Alligator mississippiensis: one gene and its partner. The protein of the gene in region 2 interacts with the protein of the main gene of each other region in a pairwise test. Links are inferred from orthologs where the notes say so. Each region holds a gene or a part of one and is shown on either strand. Other genes may lie near its edges.

What was found. The genes of interacting proteins can lie anywhere in the genome.
Region 1: the proteins of AGR2 (region 2) and FABP2 interact in binary tests that used the Homo sapiens proteins (3 or more experiments, as listed by UniProt). The two-hybrid records come from large-scale screens. The link is inferred for Alligator mississippiensis from reciprocal best matches to the Homo sapiens genes AGR2 and FABP2.

The regions. Positions count from the first base shown.
Region 1 is NC_081825.1:120,595,348-120,605,627, reverse strand, and holds FABP2 (fatty acid-binding protein, intestinal), read right to left. Parts: upstream 4,857-10,280; 5' UTR 4,496-4,856; coding exon 4,429-4,495; intron 3,088-4,428; coding exon 2,915-3,087; intron 1,616-2,914; coding exon 1,508-1,615; intron 864-1,507; coding exon 813-863; 3' UTR 557-812; downstream 1-556. UniProt on the Homo sapiens protein: FABPs are thought to play a role in the intracellular transport of long-chain fatty acids and their acyl-CoA esters. FABP2 is probably involved in triglyceride-rich lipoprotein synthesis.
Region 2 is NC_081828.1:163,709,281-163,719,695, reverse strand, and holds the start of AGR2 (anterior gradient protein 2 homolog), read right to left. Parts: upstream 4,677-10,415; 5' UTR 4,577-4,676; intron 2,927-4,576; 5' UTR 2,919-2,926; coding exon 2,786-2,918; intron 2,445-2,785; coding exon 2,381-2,444; intron 2,163-2,380; coding exon 2,110-2,162; intron 958-2,109; coding exon 884-957; intron 474-883; coding exon 410-473; intron 1-409. UniProt on the Homo sapiens protein: Required for MUC2 post-transcriptional synthesis and secretion. May play a role in the production of mucus by intestinal cells. Proto-oncogene that may play a role in cell migration, cell differentiation and cell growth. Promotes cell adhesion.

The DNA.
Region 1 (10,280 bases), on a different chromosome or scaffold from region 2:
GGCAGAAGGCAGGGTACAGATGCACCTTATAGACTAATTGAATCAAAGACGCATAAGCTTTTGTGAGCTTCACAATGAAGTAAGTTAATCTAGTCATTTAGTCTGTTAGGTGCATTTCTACTCTGCCTTCTTCAGTAAAGTATAAGCTATAGATGTATATGGGGCATTAATAATAGTTCTGCTATTTAAAATGTAATGAGTGTCTTTGATATACCGGAGGGAGGTTTTTTTTACTTCATGGCTTATTTGAAAAAACACCATCTGTAAAGTTGCAACAAAATCTTGAAATCCTACTAATGTCTTTGACTCTCTTAAACATTAACTATGTTATCAAACTCACAATCTTTGTGGCTACATACACAAAAACTTCTGGGAAGTATGTATGTGTAAAAGCCTCAGGAACTTAAGAGCTTGGGTGTTTTTTTAAGTTTTTTTTTAATTATACAATCTCCTAATATGCAGTACACAGAGCAACACGCAGCATGCAGCAACGTACACCTTGCAGCAATGAAAACAAATCACAACTTAACTGTCAGTGCAGAAACAATATTTTTATTTACAAAATGAAAATAGTTCTTGCAGCATTTAAACATGCTACATATCTAAACAGGTATCAATCTGTAGTGCAAATACACCTATTTTCTGTTTATTTAATATTGACAAGACTGAAAATGGCTGTTTTTACATCAGGGATGAGTGACCAATAATTTGGTGTTTGCTTGGGGGGTCTGTATGCATACAGTTGTCATGTATAATATAATTCTTCCACCAGATTTCTGGTTTGTCCTGGACTACCATCTTAGGCTTGATTCTTAACCCCTTTTAAAGATTCTCTTGGCTTCAACTCCTTCATATATATAAATCTGTAAAGTTTAATGAAAAAAAAGAGTTGTTATCAGTGGCTTCTTCCTCTAAGATTTATTTCACAGATCCCACATTATTATCTATCATGGCATTACAATATCAGGGTGCACTCCTGTTGCTACTTTAACAGTAACCCCAGCTCACTCATGTGAGTAGTTCCATCAAAAGCAAATAGAAAGACTGAAGGTTGGAACCGTGGGGTTTTTTTCCCTTTTTTTTGAAAATCTTCCAACCTGTATTCAGGCTGGCGCAGTGTCACACTCTCAGACTGACCCCACATGCTTCTCTACAGTGAATCAGGCCAGCAGACCAACCTCACCCAAAGGATGCAGCTGAGCCTGCACTACTGGCCTCGGAGGCTGGAGGGTTGAGCACCACTGACTTAGAACACATGCACTGAATTTAATCCACATGGGTACGATAATATTTTTTAAAATGGCCATGTTTAATCTGTAAATTTTGAAATTCCAGTGGATCTTTAATTTAAAAATGGCAGATGTTGAACAAACGTCGGGCATTTTTAGAACAAAAAAGATCTTACATACATTTCTCATTTTTCAGCTAGTTTTAACATAGGTCTGAATTCATTATAGTTTGATATTTTACATTAACCAAAAAAACCTCCAGTTGCTTTTTAACTTACCTGAACTAGTTCATCGCCTACTATTTCTCTGAATGCCTTCAGTTCTTTCTTATTATCTTTCCTGTTGAATTTTCCCACAAGCTTATTTCCTTCCATGTTCCAGGAACCCTACAATGTAAAAAAAACAAAAAAATCCAAGAAAATTGTATTACTATTGACTCATATACATATGGCAGGACTGTTAAAATGTTGTTAAAAGCATTAAAAGGAGTTAAAGCAATTGAATATTTTTGCATACTGTCAATAGTCCTGTAAAATGGAGATACACTGAAACTATTTTACCGACTTTCCAACTCCAAGAAATTTCCAGATTTCTTCTAGTTTGAATACTTATTTTTATACATATATATTAAATTGATAGAAGTTTTCTTTCTTCTGAGATCAGGGTACTGGTAAAGTGACCAGCTTTTAGGGAACAAAATCCAGGACAGTGCCAAATACTACCCAGACTTCCCAAACCAGAAGTTGTTTACACCGCTACCCATTGCAGTTATAATAGCTGTGTTCACATGGTGCTGCACACAAACTAGCTCCCTAAATATTTTGGGAGTACACCAATTTGAAACCATTTTTTTCAAATTTGAGCAATAGTCTCTTTTCATGGACTCAGTGGGAATTTTGGAGCATGTTCTGGTACAGAACATTTGGTATGATTTGTAGGTTTAGTATATATATTTAATTTGATGAATAGAATCATAGGGCTGGAAGGGACCCTGAAGGATCATCAGGTCCAGTAAAATACAAATAAGTCTGCCTCTTTCATTGACAGAGACGAGTGCAGCCTCTCAAATAACCACCCACCTTTCATTTCCCATTACATGGAGGGAAGTACCCCAGTCACAAAGGATTTCCAGTGTTCAATGTCAGGACTTTGACACTTTCCCGAAGCTGTGTAGTTGCTAAAAACAGCTGTAATATACTTTTATTAGTTTAGCTCACACTATGGCTATGTCCACAGTGAAGTCACTGCTCTGACAATAGCTTATGTAGATACGCATGATCTAGCTTTAAACAAGCCAACTCAGGTACTGCTGGCAGTAACTCTGGTAGCACAGAGTTCAGTGCAGGCTCATTAGGTGCATACCAAGCTTCTCAGGCAGGCTTTGTAGCTTATGCTAAACTTGGTGCAGTTGAGGTTATCCTGTTATCAGTACAAGCTGCAGTTACATCTTGACTGCAGGCTCAACATGACCTAAATTAGACAGCACTGCTCATTTTGGAGGATTAGATTATTTTTATAGTGAAAATATAAACATTAAGTTGGAGGCCAAATTCTGCTCTCTGCTACATGAATACACTTTACATAGAGTCAAGTTTTACATAAAATCAGAAAGCTAAATAAACCATTAATTCCAGAGATAACTTTAGTAAAAGTACAGGTCCAGCATATGAAAGTGAGCCTCTTACAATGAGTTCAGTCCCATCAGCCAGGCTGTACTCAAATTCAACTCCCAACGTGAATACTATTTCTATGGAACGGAAAGTACTTGATTCTTTGATAGTGAATTTATTTCCCTCTTGCTGAATAATGATTTTCAGGTTGTCATGAGCTCCTAACTTTCTCTTCATTACATTAACACCTAGAAAAACAATCAGAAAGAAACAAATTAAATACATATCTATACCATCAGGTCCAATGGGGGATGAATTTATTGTTAGTTAAGTTAGTGCAGGACTCCCTCAGATCAGAATAACTATGTTTTATCTCTTAACTTGCATTCATTTTGCAAAAGATTAAAGATCTCTACCAGGATAAGGCAGTGAAAAAATCAGTCCCTTTGTTGAATTATTCAGGCCCGTGGAACTTATTCTCTATTTTACTATCTCACTCATCTCCAGGTTTCTAATTTCTAGATTTTCTGCTCTCTGTTTCTTCATGTGAACATTTCCCATGAGTTATAAAGGTCAAACTCATTCCAGACATAAACAAACGTTACTCCCAGTAACTTCAGTTGGGTTCACACCTGAAGTGACTTGGGCACTGTTTCTGTTTCTACAGCCATGAGACCAGTTGTTATTTTCTTTTTCCTAAGCTCTTAATTTCATCACAAATGACTTAAACTCTTAATTCCATTGCAAATCACAACATTTAAATAAAGTAACTGGAAATACATTTCAATTTAAATAGTCATTTGGAAACTAGTCTCTCCTTTTTTGTAAACTGCAGAAGATGATTCCCACTCCAACCTCCCAGAGACTGAAACCAACCACCACTTGTAACTGCAGGCATTTTCAAAAGCAGCTTCCAAATCTGAAAGCCCAGTTTTAGGTGCATCTGTTACATCTCTTTACCAGTTGGCACGTTATTGTGGAACTGTGTCTTTCAATGAGTTCCTCTGCAGTAATCTGCAATGTTTACCATCTAATCCTTAGGGAAACATATAGAATTTAATAGCGCTGAAATCAAGTGAGATTTACAGAAATTAAATAGGACTTTTGGAAATTACTTAAAAACCTGTAGCTTTTAAGATAACATGTCTGCCTTTGTAATATTTAATGAAACTATAGACAGAAAATCATATCCTTGCTGTACAGTCCTATATAAAAGGTATTGGGGTTTTTTTTAGTTCTATAGATTTTTCAGGTAAATTTAGTAAAGTAAGAGAATTCCCAATTTATGCCAAAGTAAATGGAATAATTCTGCTTGCATTGACAGAGTTACTCTGTATTTACTCCAGTGTACCTGAGATCCAAAACTTACACTGGAAATTAGCTGTAGAGGGAAAAAGCTGAAAAATTTGGAGGTGAATTTGCTAGGCCGAGAAGTTAAAAGGCAGTATTAGACAGTCAGCAAATGAGCAGGAACACTAAAAGGCAATTGAAAGGAGGACAAGGAGGGCATCACCAGCATTCAACAATCGCTCTTAAATAGTTGTAGTTAGAATTATCTTTCTGTGACATAATAGAACAGTAAAGCTTACCCATCTCCTCCATGAACTTTTCATAGTTTTCACTTCTGTCTACCTTCCAGGTGCCATCAAATGCCATTTTTCTGATCAAAAAGGGAGATTTCTTGTGGTGCTTCTGCTCAACCTGAGATGTAGTTCAGATTTGCAACAGGAATATATATTCTGTCTTATCTTGCAAACAATTTACAGGATGATGTGGCTGGCTAAAGCTCAAATGGTCACATGACCTCCTCAAGGTCAAGTCATTGTAGCTTATTCAGGTGACCTATAAAGATCTCTCCCTATTCCACCTCACCAAATCCCTCTTCCCAAAAGATGAAAATATCTGTACTGTTCTTTCTTTTGCATATAATAGTTACTAAATTAACTTATAAATGACACTACAGTAGTGGTTTAAATCAGCAAGCCAGGAAAGACAAGGATTTAGGGGCGAATGTATTAAGAAAATGTATTACTGATATTAACCTTATGCTTCTGGGTGTGCCTTTATGTACTGAAGAAAATAAACCAAACGTTTATTCGGGCAACCATACACAAACCTAAACTCAAATGCTAATATGGGTTGTGATTGGAAACTATTCAATATATGTATAACTAGCAAAGGGAAGAAGTAAGTAGAAAGAGCTATTTATTGAGTTCTTGCAAAATATTTATTTTGGAAACTACCTATTCATTTGTAGCCACCTGTGCTGTGCTCATGACAATTATTGAATTGCGGCCTGTATTTTTCCATCAAGTTTCATTCTGAGCAGTATTTGTTGTCCATATCTCATGTTTATACTGATCCAGGTTGAGAAGGGAAGAGATTTTCAATGCCATCCTAAATGGCACTGGTTGGTGACCTATCAGAATTGCTGTGTTTGTACATCTGTAGACATTGACACAATTCAATAGCTGCTGCATACAGCCAACTCTGTTGGATTTCACCGAGAGTTTTGTATGTGCTGTCAAATCCTGCTTGCTCTACTACTATGCTGACTGTTTAAGTGGGCCACCTGTTCATGGGTGAGGCAAGAAGCATTTGACTGATGGAGTCACAAAGGAACCAGGCCTGTACTTTAATTCATGGTTAATTGCAAAGGTGATGATGCCCTGAAAGGCACAACGTAGTGTTAGGAAAAAGAGGCTGTTTTTGAAAAGCCTGTAAAGACACATTTGAAAAGCAGCCCCCCTACTACTATACTAACGCTCCCTCCTAGAATTCAAGCGAGCCAATACCTTGTTGTTCTGATGCAGTTGGCTACATTTATTGGACCAGGTATATAGTTGCAAGACATGTCAGATGAGTTTCATGCCATCTCTCCCAACTACACAGCAGTGCCAATTAAAGATGTTACCAAATAAACCTTGCTTCTTGCATATTCCCTGGACTATCATGGTTACAAACATTGTGATTCTATGGGACTGACCCACCAGTTAGCCTTACTGTGCTTCTCCCCATTACAGTATTCTCCACGCTCCAAAGAGCAAAAGGCTAGAGAAAACACGTACTAGATAAAGTAGATCACATCTGGAACATCCACTGTTGAACTCATGTCACCTGGTTTCACAGCTGAATGTTGAAACATCTCCCTGTGTGGAGGCTGCAATAGACTTACTTCACTATGAATAATTACTACTATGGCAGCGAAGAAATAATCAATAGATTTTGTCAAATTCATGGTCTCCTGGTTTGCAGCTCAAGAAATAATAGGGTATTTTGTAGGAGAGGCTTTTTCAGTCATACACATGCTCACAGCCTGGAAATGCATGAAAGACACGTCAAATGTGTAAGCATTATGAAATACTCATGATAACTATGAGGTCTGAGTGTGCCTTTATGGGGTCAGTTTTAGAGAGAACTGATGGGGATCAGGAGGCGGCACAGAAACCCAGAGGGGATAGCGAGCGCTCTGTACACACAGAGACCCAGACATGCATTTATAGCACACAAGTTGAATGTGGTACATGAGAGGGTTTTGTAAAGACTAAACTGAGATTATATAGGATGCCAGCAATTGTTTTCACCAAACGTTTGAGTCATACACCACTGTTCAAGTGTGGGGTGCTGGCTAAGTGTTAACTCCAGGAAGGTCTAACTCCATGATACCAGACTGAACTCTGGCTTTACACAAGGTAATGGACTTCCCCCTACACACAGAATCGTAACAATGCCAGCTGTCATTGCAGGAGCTGACATTTTGCTAGCACTGCAGATTGCAGCTTGGACAGAACTTTTATTAAAAGTTTAATGTCAAATGAATCAAGAAAGCTATTAGGACAGCCATACCAAAGGAAAACCCCAGTCAGTTTTACTTCATAACCAGTGTCTTAATTCAGCTAACCTACCAGAGAAGAAAATAAAATTAACTCAAATAACATTCTCCCCCCCCCCCCCCCCCCCTATTTCCTCCAACAAAGTAAAAAGAAAACAGTTTTGATGGTCTTAGGGAATAGACAAATGCAAAGTTATGGGGCAGGCATACACTGTCCTAAATATAAGACATCATTTAGATCTCTATAGTAATTTTCACATGCAATTTACATAGCACTAGTGTAAAATGCCCCATTGCAAACTTTGAAAAAAAATCTGTTTCCTTTTGATAGGAAAAGAAAAGATGCTTTTAGTAGTTAAAATATTAGACTTTAAAACTCATTTCCTGCACTGAGAATCCATCGTTTTGGCATTTAGGACAAGACTGAGACAGTATATCTCACCCTAAAGGACTGCACTACCTAAGGAAAGGTTTTGGAATTAGCAGAGAGACAATTCCTTTCCTGCCTTCCTTCCTTATTCTAGGGAAATAAATTTAGAACAGAGGTATTCAAGCTGTTGGGCTCACCCCCCCGGGGGGGCATGAAGGAATGTTAAGGGGGTATAGGCAAGAAATTTGGAAGGAACTGGTAACTACAGCCTTGCCAGGGGGATGAGGGACCGGGAGACCCGGGTAGGTTCTGCCAGCGGGCTGCTGTGCCTCGGGGAGCCTGGGGTGGCAGGCATGCAACCTAGACCTGCAGCAGGGCCAAGGCAGGATGCGCTGGAGCTGTGGCAGGTGGAGCCCACCGAGCCAAGTAGTTCCTAGAATGAGGGGTGCCCTGTGCCTGGCTGTGGTGTTCCTCTGGGGTGATGGGGGTAGGGGGTACAAATAAAATTGTAACTGAAAGGTGGGGCTCAGCTCAAAAAGTTTGAAAACCGCTGATCATGAAGGATGTAACAGGGGCAGATTGCTCCCCCCCAGATCAGTTCCGCTGTACCGCCTGGCTTGAGGTCAGAGGCTGTTATTACAAAACCTAACTGATCCTTGAATGATAACTTACTCCTCTTTGCAATAAGATGTTCTCATTATCTTTTTTATTATATTACGATTTTTCTTTGACCTTTGAAATTATCAATCTCCATATATTATATATAGTGTTTTATTGTTACAGATTCCTTGTGTCCAGTTATAGTTCATACTCATTTTATTGTTGGCTAACAAATTATTAACTTCATTTTCTTTGCCATAATGATTCAACTATTACTGAATTTTGTTAAATTCAATAAAGAGAAAAATGTGCAATTATTTTCTTCAATCTCAACTTCATCTGTATTGCAATGCTTAACATTTAAAGTACTTTTATATGCAGAAAAGTAGAAGTTTATTCTTTTTCTAAATACCAGCAGAATTGAATATAGTCTTCCATGGGACCAATGGAACATTTGGTTCACATGTTTTAGGGTGCATATGAAGGCCAGGCAGGAGACAGACCATCAGCAGTTTGTTTGAGAATTTTGGGCTAGATGCCTACTTCCTGCGTATGCATTGCTCTCTCTCTCCCCTCTTTGAGAAAGCTGTTGCCTGGTTTTACAGTGTCCCAGGCTCCCACAGAAATGAACTGGTATCCTAAGAAACTAAAATTAAGAAATATTTGTTTTGCCTTTTGCGGTGGATAAAGATGACTTCTTAGACCTAACCCACCACTTCCCCCCAAAAAAGCATTATTTAATTTTATTTTATGTCAGAGGTATATGTCAGTTTCTCACTTTTGATTTCCTACTGGGAGAATTAATGATATTTTGCAGGAGCTAAATATTAATGTCAGGCAATGCTTCAGGATGAGGTGCAGCTAACTGGTGATTTTATTTTGGCTAGTGCCTATTCAACTTCAGATCATTGGGTGTTCAGCAGAATTTCTCAAAGCTGCTCTGTCAAGTTTGTGTCAAAAATTCAAAAAGTTCAAAAGTTCTCTCTCCCAGATATCTACTGGATAAAAAAAGGGTTATTTCAGGATACGGTGAGATACCTGATAAAGATCTCTCACCATTTTTTTTTTGCATGGTTTGTAGGAAAACCATGGGTTTCCAGATCTATCTTATTCCCATGTAGCCTCCTGACCATTTTAAAAAGGAGCGCCTTAAACTTTCTAAATCATGGGAATGGTAGAGATAATTAAAATGGGTTCAGGATTCACCAAAACTCCTGTGTGCCCCAGATAGACTTTTCTTCTCAACACATTGCACTTGTGGGTGCACTCTTCCTCCCAGGCACTCACTCCAGTTAGGCTTTTGTTTTTGTGCCACCCAGGAATCTTTGACTTTTCTCACAGGTGAAGCTGAAGATCCAAACCAAACCCACCTGCCTGTGGTCAAATATCAGTTGCACTCTGTACTGTCCCCTATAGGTTGTTGCTTTGAGTCTCTGCTGAACTTTCTCCTCATGAGATCTAAACCCCAAAGGGGTTCATTAATGTGTCATAGTTACTGCACATTAAGTTTAGTACTTGTATAACCAAGTACTAAATCAATGCACAGTAACTGGTGCTACTGTGCAGTAGCACTGGTGCATGGCTTTTTAGTGATGCTAACTGTGCAGTAGTGTAGATTTTAAATAAATAAGGATAAAATATTATAAAAAAGGGGGCTCTTCCTCCCCAGTACCTTCACAATATAAAATATATATAAAGTATAAAAAAATATATAAAATACAAAAATAACAACTGCAAATCTGCACAATATAGTCTTCCACTCTCTTTATTTTTATTTTTACTGGTTGCGGCCCCTAGCGAGTTCCTCCCATGAAAGTTTTCTGCAGGGAGGGGGAAAAAGGAAGAAGAGGAAGAGGAGAAGGGTTTGGAGCACAGTTGAAAAACTGGACTTTTGCCCCCCTCAACACACAAGGTTGAAGGTTGGTGGGACATATTACCTATTACCTAAATATCACCTGGGACACTGCATATGCTGGGCGTTGGGTCTGGTAGGCAGTGTCCTGCCCCTGGACTTTTGGTCGTGGTTCTGAAATGGAATGTGATGAAGTTCAGAAGGTTTGCAGTGTTGAAGGAAATCATGTAAACACTCACTCCAAAGTTTCAAACTACTTGCAGAAAACTTACCATTACAGTGTTGCTGCTGCAGCTGTCATCAGGAGCTATGCCCACATGGCGGGAGGTGTGGGGGGCACAGATGGAGGGTATGTGTGGGGGCAGGAGGACATACACTATAGGTGGCGGGGGGGCAGAAGAATTAAGAGGGGGTAGTAAATTAAGAGAATATTGGCTTCCTCCCCCATTTCTTTTTGTTACAATAAAAATAGTAATTTGCAGACCTGATCTGAACCTGTGGCCACTCCACTGTGTGCTGTGAGTGAGGGGTGAGGAGTGAACAAGGGTAAAAAAAAAAAAAAATCACAGTGGCACCTGCTGGCTAAAGGCTGGAACACAGCGCCACCTCATGGCAAAGGGGATTCATTAGAAGTCTTCAGAGCCTGTCTGTTTGAATGAACAAATCCATAGCTGGGGCAGTGTAACTGGGGAGCGTCGCATAATAACTCATCTCCGAGTAGTCTTAGTTAAAGGCTCGAAGTGGATTTTTAGAGCAGGAGGACATCCTGGGTCATGCAAACACAAAC
Region 2 (10,415 bases):
TAAGCAATGTGCAGTGCATTTGCCAAAAGGAATTCTATTGCATTTTAACTAGGTTGCCTCTTCTACATTTATAAAAAATCCTAGACATCTCCCAGCTTAAGTTGATCTACAATCCTCGTTTGCTTACTGATCTCTGTTATGGAATGCATTATTCTATTTTTCGTAAGTCATACATTTTTCTTTATTACTATGTGAGCCTTTTCCAAAATAATACCCAACGTGTCACTCTTTTTGGTTTTTCTCATCCATCCCAGCAAATCAAATATAAAGATTCCATTCTCCTGCTGAATTAATTCCCATTAATAATGCTGAGGGTTTTATGTTTTTGTCACATTACAGAACCTAGTCTCTGCAGCTTTACAATAGATAGCATTATTCTTGAGCCTCTTTGAGAGTGCCAGGTACTCACCAATAAACATAATTCGAGGGACATACTGGCCATCAGGTGAAAGATGCTTGTCTGTTGTTTCATACTGGAATAAATGATAAGGTTTTAAATCAAGAGTGCTGTTAGTCATGCTGTATAGGTAATATAAACAGAACGTTTAATTTCCAGTTCATAATTTGGTGGCTATAAAATTAAAATTCATTTTAAAGATTATGTTTTAATATGTGAGGAATACATTAATGAGAGAACAATGCTATAACTGCAAGGCATCTCATAATTAATTGTTTTATTGGTATAAATATTTTATAGTCATTATATATTATTATAATAGGTAAAGATTTATTGCTAAATCTATCCCTATTGCAGCATAGTCATTTCCCCTTGGCAAGTGATGCCAAACATTAACCTTATCCAAGACACTATAAAGATGGAAGTTTATTGGTTCCAGACAGTGTTATAAAAGAGAGCTTTAATAAAGTGTAGCTGAATACTTACAACAAGATTAATAAGAACAAACTTTTCAGCTAATTTCTGTATTTCTTTGTGTGCAGCAAATACTTTCTTCAGTGCTAGAACATAGATGCGAATGATTGTTAAAAAAAAACAAAAGCCAGGAAGGAAATTAACCATTTATCTTTGTCAAGAAACAATACAGAGTCAGATCTGGAGTGATTGGTGGATTCTCCATGCTATAATATACACATCCAATGCAGGGTTCAAATTACACTTTGACTCTTGCAGGGGTCTGCAAAAAAAATTAGGCGGCCCATCACAATACCCCAATAAAATCAGACCCCCCCCCCCCCCCCAAGTTATGATTTTCAAATCTTACAGGAGAGCTCTCATCTCTTACGGCAGGGCTCAGCCCCCATGAGCTCCCTTGTAGTTCAAACCCTGAATTCAAGTTAGAAAACGATTATAGTGACCAGCTGAAAAGGCTGTAGGTGCCTTTCTTTTAGCGTGTTGGTGAACAGTAGCTGGAACAGACCTTAAGTAACAAAGGCAAGTGGCACAAAACTGCGTTCCTGTAGTCTAAACTCTTTCTAACTGTGCATATGAATAAAGGTGTTGAGAAAGTGTTATTTCTAGATATGGACTGAGAAAGATGCAGGCAATTCTCACTCCTAAGAGGAGTCTAAGCCAAACACTCTGAAGTTAGTTCTGGTTTGGTTTACAACTTTACAGGTTGAGGGCTGTTCTCAAAACTGAATTGTTTGGATGGTCCGTTAGGTGCACAGGGATCTCCAAGGAAATGGAGGGCTTTTCATGAGTAATAGGAACTAATCATATAGATGACTTATTGCATTAGGGCTCTAGTATGAATATGGCTGGAAGTCTTGAGAAAACAGATGTCCCCAATATGGCAGAAATCTCTTAGAACTTGAAATTTCTACACTGTCATGTCTGCATCCCATTGTAAATGGTAACTTTGATCAGGAGTGAGAATTGCATGCATCTTGCTCAGTCCATCTCTAGAAATAACACTTTCTCAACACCTTTATTCCCAGCCTTAGATTAAATTTGCATCATTCTCACAAAATTGAAAGCTAATGTATCATGATTTGAACCTGTACTGCACAAGATTAAAATGTCTGCAATTCTGAAAGCAACACAGGTTGCTTGCTTAGGTTAGTATTTCAATGAGGTGTTTTTAGAAGAAAAACGGGTGTTTTTTTAGCAATATAAAGGTGTAAAGCAAGATGTTTCTACTCAAAACTTACCTTGACTGTGTGGGCAGTCCTCTAAATGATGAATAATCAATATGGGTTTGTTACTGAAACAGAAGAAGTCTTATTTCAGATTTTTACTATTACCAATCTTAAAGCCAGTACTTATGTGGAAAAACATCTTAGACTGTAAAATCAGTTAATAAATGGACACATTTCTAAGTTCTGGCAACTTCTCTTTTCTTGCTATTATTCATGTAAATATAGATATCACACTAGATGGCGCCATTGAAACCTATCAAAAGAATAGGTAAAGTTGATTTACCCAGACTTGGCTCTAAACAAGGCTTCTTCATAAGTCTGAGTCCAGATCAGCTGATCACCCCAACCTAAAGGCAAATGACAAAGAGGAGTCACTGTCAAAGTTGTTGGCGATGAGAAAACTATTTTATAGGTCAAGTGTAAACATAAAGGCTACTGAGAACTACTTTGAGAATGTCTTGCCAAAAGGGAATTTAAATGCAATGAAGACAAAATGACTTGTAGAAAAAATATCAGGAAAGTGTATTTCAAGTGGCAAGAGACTGTTTTTTTTTTAAATATAGGTAGCTGAAAGGAAAAGAGCAAAGTGTCAAGGAACTATTAATAATGCAAGAGGAATAAATATTAGGAGATTAAAGGGTTAAAGATTCTTATGGAAGTAGGGCAGTGAGAATGAACAACATTTTACCTCTGGAGAGAGTTTGAGGCAATTTTGGTTTATACTCATGTGTGTCCTTTTTGTCCTTAGCCCCAAAATCTTTAGCAAGGGTATAGGCAACAGCAACAAGCAGCAGGAACATTGAAATATAATTCTTCTCCATGACTAGTGCTGAAAAAGATAATTGACATTTATAATGCTGCCATTTTTCACACTTCTAACTGGATAAGTGTTTAAGAGGGTGCTACATATAAGCTCTCAGTCTACAGTTAAGTCATAAAAATATATCAGGGCTGGGTCACTGCTGGAATGAACTGCTATAGGTAGATTGTGTTCCTAAAAATGTAATGAATAGTCAGACTGGTTTAGCAAATATTTTTTAATATCTCAGGAACTGGTATAATTTTGTTTTAAGTTACTTGTTGCCAGTTTTAAATAAGCTTATCTCATCTAGATGTAGTCAGCCTAGAGACCCACTTTGATGCTATATCTCTTTTACTCCCTCTCCTGTTTTTCTTGACAGTACTACAAATACTGAATTAGCTCAATGAAACAATGGAAGTTCAGCATTTTCTATAATACCCATCATGTTAGAATATAAAGGCTTTTGCAAATAATAATAAGTATTTCTGAGACCTTTCTATAAAATCCATCACTGCAAAAATTAAGCACTTCCCAAGTGTTTTGTTCAGGGAAGTTAGGTTGAGGAGGTCATTTCCTCAGTTTTGCAAATGAAACAATGAAGTTACAGGGAGTTACTTGCCAAAGCCTTCAAAATATGTCTTGAATTCTAATATTGTTCTCTAAATCTTTCCCTTAAAGCCACACAATAATACAGTTTTCAAGAAATAATGGTTTCATTTAGAACACTGAGGATTGGTTTAGAAATGCAATGTATCACTTCCAGGGATGCTTTGCTACTGAAATCTCTTCCTCTGCCCAATTGTACGAGTGAGAATGAAGCAGGTCATGTTAGATGACATGTTTCTCAGTTTTCTAAATGAAATGATTCTGCCAGTGAATTCACTTAGCATGATCCAACTTTCTCATTCACTTGTCACTGGATGCTAGGATACTGAGCTAAGAGGTACACAGAAAAGCTTAAGGTAAGCAGACATTCTAAAGCATAGGAACATCAACGTGGGTGCATAAGCACCTTTTAAAATGCAGGTTAGAAAAGTGGAAATGTGATACCATTCAGCCTCGCTTTGCCAGAAGCCCTGGGAGGACTTGCTTTCCTCAGGCTGAATAAATGGTACAGCATTCTTTGCCGTTGTAATGCTCAGTAGACCCTGACTATCTATGTAATCACAGCTTCAGAGCCATGCAAAATGCAGTACCAGGTTTTGGACATACACTGACCTTTACATTAAAAAAAAAAAAATTGTTCTCTGAAAGGACGAGGTTTGAATGAGTCTTGCTTAGAAGCCCACTGGAGATTCTAAAGATAGTTTAATCAGATCAGTACAGATGAAGGTCTCCTTTAAAAAGAACAAAGGGGTGCCGGCCAACCAGGAAAAGCAAGAACAAACAAATCTCAGGATGATGCAGAACTGAAAGTAAAGGCCAAGAAGCACTACACCTAAAGCAGCATCTGTGCAAAGCTAGGTATAGTCATTCTAAGCTGTTAAAAAAAATCATTCTAATTCTTTTAACATGAAGAGACAGCATTATTCCATCTATTCCCCCATGGCGAGCTCAACTGTAAGTTGCTCCATTCCTTGCTTTCTGTCTGTTACCTGCTGCAGTAATAAGTAACCTGAACATAAAGCTCACAGGATTCTAACAGGTACATTTCTAAGCCAGTGCTCACAGCCTTACCTTGTTTGCTCTCCCACCTGTCTGAAGAGTTATGAAAGTGTTCCAAGTTTCATTGTGAACCTCTAGGGCTCATAATGCCTACTTATGTACCTTGGCACACCTCAACTCCACCCACGAGCTCTGTATTTGAATAGTATCCCCAGGGAGCTAAACTTCCCCTTTTTTTAATAAAGAAAAACATTTTCAGGATCAATTAGTTTTAATCAGCAGCCTATTTGATATTCAGTCTTTCATAGCAATGACAATGTGCAAAAATGGAAACATGCTAATATGAATTTTGCAGTGTTTTTAACAGAGATTTTTACAACTGGGCAAAGAGCCAAGTCCAGGTAAGCTTAAATCAAGACTCCTGATTTGCCTGAAGGCTGATTTGTCTTTATGTGATTGGCTGAAAGTTATAGCTTGGATCACAGCTCTTTCATTTCTTTGAGAAACTAAAATGATGATTCAGAACTCCAGGTTTCCATCAATGTAGTGATTAAACAATCATTTACTCCGTGTATGGTAGTCTAATGCCGAGCAACGATATGGGTTTTTTTAACAATCTAAAACAAATAGGAACATTTTTAATGAACCATCATACAGGCCCTTGAAGTTATCAGGTTATTTAGAAACTTTAAAACCTATTTAAAAAGTATTTAAAATTGAGTCCTCTTATTGTTCTATGTAGTAAAGTAACTCTATAAATACTTGTTTTAGGCACAGCATAAAAATCCATCGTTTTATATTTCTGATATACATATAGCACAGTATAGCGGTCAGAAAAATGCTAGAATCATTTCCTTTGCTGCAGTATTTATACTGAACAATTTCCAGAGTATGGAAGATATCTTTCGAAGGATGATTTATTGTGATCCTGCCATGGGCATGATATATAGGGTGACCATACATCCTGTTTTTCCCCCAGACGTCCCATTTTAAATAAGTGTCCTTGGGATCCAATTGGTTTGGTGGAATGAATGCTTTTGTCCCATTTTCAGCTGGAATGCAGCAGTGGCAGTGCTCTCTAGCTGGAACTGTGATAGGGCAACTGCTAATCCTTCGACATCCCACAACACACTTCTCTCCAGCCTCTCACCTAAGACCATAGCTTGGATACAGCTAAACATAGTGGAGACTTACAGGGTGGAGTGGGGCAGAGTAATGCAGAATGCCAGCGAACCGTTGAAAAGGAAGCGCTAGGGTAACCCCCCCCCAACCACACACACACTTTTCAAGTTGTCCTGTTTTGAGACTTAGGAAACATGGTCATCCTAATTATGTGTTAAAACTTTAATATATGCCATTTGTTGTATCCTTGATACATTTTGCTCTGTAGATGGTTTTTTTTAATGAACATAGAACAATTGTCACTGGTGAGAAGGATCCGTTAATCTATGTAGATAGGGAAAGAAAATCCATCACTTCTTTTTCTGTCTCTCAAATTGACTATATTTTCAGGTACTCATTACTGAAAAGGGATTTCCAAATATCTTCATGCTAAGTTTATTCAAAAGCAAATATCACCTTGTGCTTCAATACATCAATATTTATTTTTTAGCTTTCCCAACATTTTGCAAAATGTATTTAGGGAAAAGAATCAGCAGAGACAAGGTCATGATCTCAGTTGATGTGTAATTACTATGTTTCTTAGGAATGTACTACAGTACTACAATGAGAAATTACATTTTATTTATTAACTGCTTATTAGGTATAGAATAAGAAAGCAAGCTAAGCATTTAAAATGGTCAACAATTTGTAAATCCATATCAAAGTGTTTATTAAGACCTTTATGCATAGATTGGTAAGTAATCAAAATGAGAGAGAAATATATTACATATAAGTATTTTATTTTGCTCCTGTATGGCTGTCATAAGACACAAAGCTATATCTTATAGATATTGCAGCATATGTTCACACTGCATTCACTCAAAAACCATGTTTTTGGAAATGCCTAAAATTAGACTCCTAAAGCCACAATTAAGCACCTGAAATCCATGGGAGCTCCTGAGTACTCACTTTTGAAAATCAAATCACTTCAGATAGTTCAGTGTGCCTAGCGTTAAACATTCATTTCTGAACTCTTGACCTTATTTCAGTGAGTCTGTGAGCTTTCCAAGTCTTGATTTCATGCATGTTGACTGAATCTCTTCCCAAACTGCACTCAGTAGCAGTCAGTAACATAAGAACAACTTTTTTTTTCTGTATACCTGTACCCTGAGACATCTATATGATTAACATGTACAATCCTACTCGGATACATTTTAATTGTCCTCCATGTGTATGTAAGCCTGAAAATGACCAGAAATCCCAAGACGGTACAAACAGCTGACTAGCATATGCTTTAGTATGAATTCCAGACTGCTTATCTGTGATCACTTCCCCCACCGTGGTGACCATGTCACCTGTCCTAGAAGAATTGTTCCAGGAAAATCTGGGTGAGTGGTCCTAGCCAGGAGGCTTTTCCTGGTTTTCTTAAAGGAGCAGTTACATCCTATTCCAGTTAATATTTACCTATAGCAAAATAAACTGTTGGAAAATCATCGACTCTGAAATGTGGCATTCTCTTGTTTTGACCTCAATATATTTATACATCAGGGCTGCCTATATGCTCTGGTTGTGAGCCTCCTATTTATTGCTATATTTCTTGCATATGTATCCCACAGAGCAAGAGTTCATCAGGTTTCAAAGAATATATTGAGTACATTCCAAAAGAAAATGGAAGGGGCTGTGTATGTTACTCGGTTATGAATACTAATCCCCAGCCAAGGGAAAAATGTTGGAGGGAAATTAAACAGCCTTTTTTGTAGGAAAAAACACCCAATTATATTGAAGTACTTAAGAGAGATTGTTTAGAAAGGCTACAACATTTGGAAAGATATGGATTTTGCTATTTAACAGCTTGAAGTAAGGTAGCAAAGCATATAGGTGGCCCTACTGTATAAATATACTGAGGTCAAAACAAGAGAATGCCACATTTCAGAGCTGATGATTTTCCAACAGTGTCAAAGCAGTAATAAGATTTGGTAATTGGCATTAGAGTCTATTTACGTGAGATACTGAGTAGATTGTCTTTTTTTAGTGGATACTTATATTCACCAAAAATTGCACCTTTGATCCTCCCCAAATGATTTGCAAACTTCAGGACAAATGTCTCCAATTGTTTTGCTGGAATAAAGTTTCGGGCTACATTCACAAAAATAAGGATACTATTGTCTAATTTACCTAATAACCAGCACTTACAGCAGGCAGCCACAATCCTCTCTTCTGTCTGTCTAGACTTGAGTCCACTTCTCTCCGGAATATTCTGGAATATGTCCTAACTTACATGCTGGGGTTGGGGGCTACTTTCTGTCTTTCCTGTTGCCAGTGATGGTGTCTCAGTTTGTATAAATAGTTGTATATAAAGCCTATTGCTTAGAGCTTTGAAAGGTTAGGGACCTAACTCTTGACACCTGTTGGAGAACAGAGAGAAGAGTGGCCAGAGCTCCCTGAGACCACCAGACAGGCAGAAGTCCTACAGGGCAAAGGAGCCCTCTGTCAGCATCTCTGGGGAGCTGGGAGCCAGGCCTCATTTGCATGTTGGTTATATGACAATTTAGGGCGTTTTCATTAACATAAAGTTACATTTTGAAGTTGGGTTTATAAAATTCTGTTATCCATATCTGAAAATAAATGGAAAAGAGAACTATGTCAAATGTGACTTAGGCAAAGCATCACACCTTAAAATGACTGCAGCCTCACATGGTGGGGTAAAGGAGCATGGGTAAAGTAAGGAGAAGGAAAGACGAGTCTTCCACTCAGGAGTCTTTCTTTTGTGGCAGAGCGGGGGGTCCTACATGCTCTCGACTCCTTTCTGAGGAGCTGAGATGCTGCAGTAGAGCGCTGAGGGGATGGCCAGACTTGCTGCAGAACTGGTAAGTAGAGTTGCAACAAAAGAAGCAGTTTTGAGGTGACAAGTGGACACCAGATGGCTAGGCATGGAACAGTTTGGAGGAGCTAAGATTGCTTGGGATAAAATGGCCAAGAACAACTGATGGACTCTGAGTGCCAGTACCAGACCAATGACCATTTCGCAGCTGGGATTGGTGGTACAGCACCTGGAACTGTAGTGAGGGGGCAGACTACCCCACATTTAGACTCTCCCAACCTAGACAGTGAACTGTGAATAGGGCATAAGAAGAAGAGGAAGTTAGGGGATAAACACTGCATCAGCCACTTGCAGCTAAGGGAGAAGGAGAAGGGGGTTGGGTTTGTGACTATTGCTAGGGCACTTTGGTTGACAGTAAGGGCAGGAAGTCTTATTTAACATTGTTGGAGTTTTGATTTGGTTTTCCTAAGTCTCTAACATGTTTCCCTTATTCTGTCCAGTAAGCTCCTGTGTGGGGTGACCATCATAGAGGACAGTCTGGTTGTCCTCTGTCCTCTGTTGATACGAAACCCGATGCCTTTATGTCCTCTATTTTTCTCTTGACATAAAGGCACTGGGTTTCGTATCAATAGAGGGCAGAGTAGCAGAAAACGGGAATGTCCTGTATGATGGCCACCCTACTCCTGTTTGTGGTTGCTAAACTGTAGCCCCTAAAGTAAGTGGTTTGCAACTCTGTGAATCGTACTGGGCCCATTAGGTGGTACATGTTCATACTACAGCACAACATCTTGACTTCTACTTTGCTATATGATCCTACAAGCCAAACATGTGCCCTGGCATGTGAAAAGGCAGTCATTGTAAAAAAGTGAGCAGCAGAAGTTCCAAGTGATGGCTAAAGAACAAGAGATACCCATTCTGTTGTGTCTGTGAAGGGGATGTTTGGGAGGAAGTACCTCTCCCATGTGAGGTGTGCGGGAAGCAGGGCCTGGGGCTGGGGCTACACTACTGCTGACTGCCCTGGAGGTGCTGCAGCAGAAAGTAAGGGCAAGCAGATGGACAGGGAGTGGAGGAGGGGGGCAGGCACAAGCAAGGGGGAGCAGGTAGGGGACGGAGGGGGGCAAGGAGCTGGGGAACAAAGTGCAGGGGTCCGCCCCTTCCCCCCACTGCTGCTTTCACTGCCATAGCAGTAGGAAAGACAAATTTAAGACAACCTTCCACTAATTAGGATTTATTCATGGAAAATTATAACAGATTTGTAATTTTCCATGTATAGGATCTAATTATTGAGGGGGGAGGGTCACCTTAAATACAAAGTTATTTTGGATTTGGGTGAATATGGTATATATGATCTGTAACAATGATAGGAATCTAGTGTTCCATCTCCTAGATGAGTCTCTCTCTTTCTTGTTCTTTCTCTGTCATAATATTTGTTTAAGTATTCCATGGAGGGTGGAATAGCTTCAATAGGGGAAACTGAGACCACCCCCCCCCCCCAAAATATATTTTTTCATAGCTTTAGTGCAGGGTGACCTGAACACGCATTGGCTATAATTAGCACAGGTGTCATTTATACTTGCTAAGGAGCTGGCCTCCTGTCTTAAATCATGATCCATCACCCAGTTCACTCTGGTGAATCCTTCCCTCAGTCTGTATTACCTGCAGCCTAAATGAACACCAAATATACAGTTCATATATTTTTCAAACAGTACAGCAAAAGGATAGATGGGATTTAAAATACTCTGTTCATTTAGGCATGTTGATTACTACTACTATTACTACTACTACAAAAAAGGTTTTTGATAAGCTTGAAAGAAATTGTTTCCCACTGTCTACATATGATGTTACCTGACATAAAATGACAGAACAGAATGCAAGCATGAAATACTGTCCTCTGAATATTTTTAGATAAAGGCAGAGTTCTAGAATCAGTTTTTAATATTGCCCTGTTTCACTTGGTGGAAGTGTTGGTATGTGCTGAAAGATATGGCT